Tribolium castaneum: one gene and its partner. The protein of the gene in region 2 interacts with the protein of the main gene of each other region in a biochemical or structural test. Links are inferred from orthologs where the notes say so. Each region holds a gene or a part of one and is shown on either strand. Other genes may lie near its edges.

Region 1 (2,409 bases), on a different chromosome or scaffold from region 2:
CCATATTTACCAAAACTGGGAAAGTCTAGCCCCCACATTCTTTGAATTTATTCACACTTTGCCCCCAAGTCAACATGAGAGAGTTTCTGAGCAGATTTTAGAGTACTATTTGGGCAAAAACCAAAAACTGACTCAGGAAAATTCCGATAAATTTACCAAAATGTTCAGCGACCGTATTTTCCTAATTGATTCCGAAAGTGCAACCAAACTTCAGGCCAAAACCGCCAAATCGCCAGTCTATTATTACTTTTTTACCTATTTTGGAGACTTCAACCAACTCAAAGTTGTAGGTCATGGTGACGATGCCAAGTACTTTTTTGGCAGTGTTTTCGTACCAAGACCTTTGACTGAGAACGAATTGAAAATGAAGGACGTTATGTTGGACATGTTGGTCACTTATGCCAAAACAGGGTACTACCAAATTTTCTGAGGGAAAAAAATTATAGAAAATTTTAGGACTCCGGTCATAAAAGGGGCCGATTGGAGGCCAACTCAAGGAGACCAGTTGACATACCTTGATATTGGAGGTCTTGAAGATGGGGAAATAAAGGTCAAAACGTGTGGTGACCTTAGCGGGGCTAGGGATTTTTGGAATTCTCTGGGGTTAATGGATAGTGAAAATTTTGGTAGTACCAAGGAAGAATTGTAATAATTTTTAAATAAAAAAAATATATATTCATAGAAATTATGTGGTCTCTTACTTACCTTATAAATTTTTACGCACTTTCTTAATAATAATCGATGTTTTTTGGAAGGGCAGTGATATTAGGAAAGAAAACAAAATCCATAATACACATTATATTGAAGAATTAATAATTGATACCAATATTAAATACAATAATGAAATCCCATAATTATTTAACTACCCTACGGTAAATACCACGTGCAATCTTCATATCTCTTACGACGGCGGCGGTGGCGGCGGCGTCGTCAACAAGCTATTAACATCAATCCCTGGTGGCGGCGGTGGCGGACAACTCCCCGGCGGCCACGTGAACGCCGCCGCTTGCCACGGCATAGTCCCATTCGTCGTACTTGCCCCAGGCGGCGGCGGCTGATTATTCGCCCCCATCCATTGCATCATCTGTGGCGGACTGGAGGCTCCTGGCGGCGGTGGCGGCGGCATAATGCCCGGCGGTCCCGGCTGCCAACTCATATTCTGTGCCGCTACCGTCCACGGAGGCGGCGCCATACCATTCATACACTGAAGCGCAGTAGGCGTCGGCATCGGAGGCGGCATCAATGGGCGTGGCGTCATCGGCGAATCAAACAAATTAAAACTCGATTTACGCGTCGTCGTCGTGGTGGTGGTGGTAGCGACCGCCTCCGGGGGCGGCGCCTCACCCAACTCCGCCATCAACGACATGTACTCCTCGTCGATTTTGTTCTTTTCGCCGCCGGGGACAGGGGGGCCCCCGGCGCCGGGACGCTTCTGACGACAGTCGCGTGCGATATGGCCGGCAGCCCCACAACTCGAACAGACAATGTTGTTGGTGACGTTTGGTTTATCGGGGCACTAAAAAAAAATAATAATAATAATTTGGTGTTTTTTTTGCAAGGTTTAGGTTGGTATTACCAGCCAAGATTTGTGGTCAGTGGCGCCACAGTTGTTACAACGCATTCCGTCATTTTCGCGCAATGTGCCGTTCAGTTGTGCCAACTCACGCAATTGCATTCGGCGAAGGTCGTTTTGGTTTTCGGGGACTTCCACTCCCTGACGTATAACCTCCTTGATCTGTCATAAGAGAAAAAAAAACAAGTTACGTTACCATGCCAATAAACAGGCGTTGCTATGGCAATAACTGGCGTTACTATGGCAATAACTGGCGTTACTATGACAATAACTGGCGTTACTATGGCAATAACTGGCGTTACTATGACAATAACTGGCGTTACCATGGCAATAACTGACGTTACTATGGCAATAACTGGCGTTACTATGACAATAACTTTCGTTACTATGACAACTGAAGTTACTATGGCAACAAATGTCAAACTCACCCGTTCCACGGCCTTCTTGACGCATTCAGGATTCGTGGCCGTGATGTAGGCATGCAAGGGTTCATCCTCACCGGGAAGTGGTTGTCCGTCTTTTCGTCCAACTTTACCCTCTTTGACACTTCCCTTACCCCTGATAATAATTTTAGCCCCAGTTTCTTTCTCCATTGCTGCGAAAAAATCAATAAAAAATTGCAAAAAAATGATAAAATAATACTAACTTTTTAACGTATTCCCCCTTGGACCAATCAACAAACCTACAAAATTAATCTCAGGATGTTCCTCTTGCGGTATCATAACTTTATCACTTACACGAACCACAGGGGGTCTACAACTGTAACAAATAATTCAATTAAAGGAAAAAATTAAACAAAGGGTCAAAAAATGTGTCAATTATTAAATAAAAAAAAA
Region 2 (4,487 bases):
TGGCGGTGGTAAGCCGAATGGAGGCGCTCCAAACTGACCTGGGGGACCCCCAAATGGGGGCATACCTGGCGGAGGACCCGCTAACATGTTTTGAGGCATTGCGTTCCCAGCTTGTTTGGCATCGCCTTTCGATTCCTCTGACTCAACTAAATTTCTCGTTAATTTTTTTGGGATAGAAATTGGATTAGAGGTACCTTCAGGTTTATTTGAAACGTTAGCCTGCGCTAACGCCGCCTGAGCTGCAGTTGACGTTCCTTGGGCTAAACCTGTGGTGGCCGCTTGTGCCATTGCTTCCACTTGATCCTGAGAGATTACTTTTACATTAGGACCTTCTGGCTTAGTCCAAGTGGTTTCTCTAGTACGAGCATTATAAAAATATGACTTGCCTTCTGAGGTTTTAGTCTCTACCCAAATTTCACTATTTGCATCTAACCCCTGCAAAAAACAATTACAATTGAATTCTTGTAGTCGAACTTCGATAAATAATAAATTATTATTTACAAAGTGGTAAAACATACGAAAGAGGAAAAATAATATCGAGGCTATAAAATTAAATAAAATAATTAATTTAGTCATTTTTCAGCACGGTGCAGCAAACTCACAAGAAAAAAACTAAATATGTAACTCAAAAATGTATTTGAAAGTGTGAAAAAATAACTCAATTTTTGGTTCCATTTAGTGCTTATTCGGCTTGCGAAGTAATTCCGCTTATAGCTAAAAAAAGATAAAACGCTCCAAAAGGCAAAAATAATGTAATTTGGCGATTTTTCTGTATGTATTAATGACATCTCGCAAAAAAACGGTGAGATTTTGATTCAAATACCAGCTTAAAGGTCTTAAAAGTTTGGAAAGGTAAAATTTTTTCTACTTTGGTTTCACAAATTATTCATTGTGAAACTGAAAGTATCATGTGTTCATTATTAAGAAAACTCTCCGAATGGCCTGATATTTCCTACTACACGAGTTCACCAAAATTCATAACATCATAACCTATGAGTGATAAATAGTGTTCAAAGGCCATGTGTTACGTGTGTTAAACAACAAAAAAAAACATTTCCAAAAGTTTTTATAAATAATAAATAAATATCTTTATGAAAATCTGTTATCTTTTTAACTGCCAAAAAGTAAAGTTATAAAAGAACGAATTAATCACAAACATTTGTAATCAATTGTTTTTTATTTTCAAAGCACTTCTTAAATGAACGCTTGTTAGTTTTACAAAGAGAACTTTTGTACAACTCCTTTTAGTAAATTTGTAGTTATATTGACAGTTCTGCGCTGGGTGTCATCAGTCATCACTGTAATTTAGTGTGATCTATCAACAACGTCAAGCCGTTTATTGAAAAAGAACAATTAACAAAATTAAGAGAAAATAGTTTGAACAGATTTTGATAAGTTAAACTAAACAGAAACAAACAAAAATAGAAAATAGTATATTACACTCGTTTTATAAGACTTAATTGTGACACTCATTCTATTGGAGCACTGCTTCGTCGTGCTCCAAAACCATTCGTGCCGCAATAGAACGTCTTATAAAACTCGTATAATAATATATTGTTTCAATCCTATTTTACCTTTTTTTTTTTTGGTTTGTTCATAAACGTGTTAATCGAGTAATACAAGTCAAAATAATGTCAGTTTGGATTTGAAATGTTGATCAGCCAATTTTTCGAAAAAAATATGTATCGAAGTGACAAACAAACGTGCTTCAGCACACGGAAAAAGCAAAAATTATGTTATTTTTACATAAAGATGAACTACGGATAATCAGGATATTCCGAAGAATCAAATCTCCGATCGTCCGATGAACTCTCGATGGGTTAAACTACGAAATAAATTATATTCTACTTTATTTTTGGTGACATGTTTTCCGCAAAATTTAATGTTATATCAGGTCTATTTTAAGAAAGTGTTTATCTTTATTGAAAATGTTTGGAAAAGTCTAGTTTAATTCTTTATTTGATTAAGATTTAGTAATAATTCGATATTTCCCGGGAATACCTAGACTTTAAATCAAGAAAAACAAAGTGTAGGCAATAGAAACCCTACGTGAAATTCTTATCTGTATTTATTATTTGATAACTCGAACAGATAAACTTGAAAAATTCGAATTCCAAAAAGATGGTAATTCGCAAAATCTCGTCGAAAAAACTTACTGTTGTGGGATTTTGCCCTACTGGTGGAAACTGCCCATTGGTCGTCCCGCCCTGAGCGCCCATGGGTCCACCCGGGGGCGCCCCCATCATGCCCGGTGGTCCGAACGGCGGTCCATTGGGTCCCATCATATTGGGCGGTCCACCCATCGTCCCCGGGGGCCCCATCGGTCCTCCCCAGTTAGGCCCATTAAAATTCGGAGGTCCATTGAATCCCTGCCCTGGTGGTGGGTTTCTGGGAGGTCCCCCACGTCCAAACATCGGAGGAGGTGGTCCTCCACGTCCACGAAACGGAGGAGGGCCACCGGGCCCAAATCCCCTTCCTCGAAACCGGGGACCTTCTCCACGCGGTCCTGGCGGACCTGGAGGACCCGGCCACGCGCGTCCGCGGCCCCTGTAATCACACCGTTAGGAAGTGTGGCGGTTTAAAACTTGAATACCTGAACCCTGAAGGTCCTCGGCCTCGCATTTGGAAGTCATCTCCGAGTTCAATGTCGTTTTCGAAGCCTCCGTCCTCTTCGTATTCCTCTTGGGCGACGCCGTCGACGTCGGCGCCGTCGTATTCCATGGAGACGTCTGTTTCTTCCATTGTGTTTTATTTAATTTCAATCGATTTAGCCATTTAGAGTCAATTAAGATTTATTTTTCGGAAAATGGCGTCAACAAATGCACTTCTTCGGTTTATGACGTTAATGCGCATGCGCGTTTTTTGTTTGTTGATTCCCAGATACCAACCACAAGCGACAAATTTTCCCCAAAAGTCGCGCGAAATTAGGTTTGAATTTTTTGGATGATTTCTACATAAATTTTCTTTTAAAAACAATAATTAAAACAACAAATTTTAAAACATAACACTGCCCACCGACTGTTCCGCATAATTTATTTAAACGCCTTAAAAAAATAAAACATTTTCGCCAACAAAGAAATACCACAAATGATCATTTCATACAGGCTGATTCTTTAAATTTTCAAATAGTAACCACCTATTTTTATTGCATTTTTGAATTAGTAAAATATACCCTAGTTGTTAGTATTAGCTGTTTCAAAACTATAAACGCCAACGTCGCATTTTTTACCGAATTATTTTTTTAAATGAGATTGATAAAATTGTAAAATAGTAAAACAGTAAAATAAAATTATTAGATCTCTTATTGAAACTATAAATTACATTATCTATCAATTTTTTGAAGTGCATAAATAATTTAAAAAATGATTATAAAACAGTCTTCTACAGCGTGCTCAAAAACTGACGCACCAACTCAATGGTGTGTGGCAGAGAAGTGGTTACATATAAAGGTAAAAATAGTAAAAAAATTCTTTGTATTAAAGTTATTGATAAATAACTAATTTTAGGTAAATGATATGTGGCAACGTTGTCTAATAGTCATGATCGCAATAGAATTTGAGCAACAATAAAAATAAATTATTTTTGAAACGGTTTCCTAGGAAATAATTCCCAGTATTGGCACATCTACACATTGTGATTTTTTGGATGAATTTTAGTTTTTTTAAATTTAAAAAACTGCTAAAATCTGATAGTAAATTTTAAAATAATTGTTCATCGTTTTGTTACGGAACGATTACCTGGTATGAAACATAATAATATAAAAAAATAATGAAAACTAAAGAAGTTAACACAATAGGTTTGTAGCTTCAGATTTTTTAAAATACGACTTTAGGAATTTTTTCAACATTTTTCCCGTAATCTGCACTTGCTTCTCAATAACGTACCACTGAGTTGGTGCGCCAGTTTTTGAGCACCCTGTATATCTATCTCTTACAGATTTTGGAATAATCGCAAGAAATTGAATTTTACCTAATTATTTTCATTTTTAATCAACTAAACTTTCGAAAAATATGATAAAATTGTGCTATTAATTAAAAAAAAATTCTATTTGATCACCGTTTTCATTCAAGAAGTTCAAAATTCGATGGCAGACTGAATGAGTTACTTTACATAAATTATGATAATAAACCATAATTAAATATTAATATTTTACTGCTTATTAGATAATTAATAAATCAGTCAAAAAATTAAATAAAATGTTCAAGTTGACAATTGTTGACGAATTTGCAAGGTCTACTTGATTACTATAAAAATTACGAAGTAAAATCCGTTTCTTGTGAGTTTTTTCAAAAACTGTAAGAGATAATAAGTATAGAATGTATTGATAAAAGTCACCATAAATATTGATGTTCTTTCGATTGCCGTTAAGAAAATAGGGTCGTTCCATTTAAAAAGTGCGTTATAGCAGTATTTTGAAAACCATTTTGAAAAAAACATACTAGCCATAAATTTAAACAGTTGACAATTTTGAAAATTCTAGAAGACTC

What was found.
Region 1: the proteins of transcription elongation regulator 1 (region 2) and SF1 form a complex in vitro, tested with the Homo sapiens proteins (3 studies listed by BioGRID). The link is inferred for Tribolium castaneum from reciprocal best matches to the Homo sapiens genes TCERG1 and SF1.

Annotation. Positions count from the first base shown.
Region 1 is NC_087400.1:3,267,626-3,270,034, reverse strand, and holds the end of SF1 (splicing factor 1), read right to left. Parts: intron 2,333-2,409; coding exon 2,220-2,332; intron 2,169-2,219; coding exon 2,002-2,168; intron 1,736-2,001; coding exon 1,577-1,735; intron 1,517-1,576; coding exon 902-1,516; 3' UTR 784-901; downstream 1-783. Other genes in the region: uncharacterized protein LOC659501, read left to right, coding at 1-411, 457-649. UniProt on the Homo sapiens protein: Necessary for the ATP-dependent first step of spliceosome assembly. Binds to the intron branch point sequence (BPS) 5'-UACUAAC-3' of the pre-mRNA. May act as transcription repressor.
Region 2 is NC_087397.1:11,590,843-11,595,329, reverse strand, and holds the start of transcription elongation regulator 1, read right to left. Parts: upstream 2,856-4,487; 5' UTR 2,743-2,855; coding exon 2,594-2,742; intron 2,548-2,593; coding exon 2,157-2,547; intron 436-2,156; coding exon 195-435; intron 147-194; coding exon 1-146. UniProt on the Homo sapiens protein: Transcription factor that binds RNA polymerase II and inhibits the elongation of transcripts from target promoters. Regulates transcription elongation in a TATA box-dependent manner.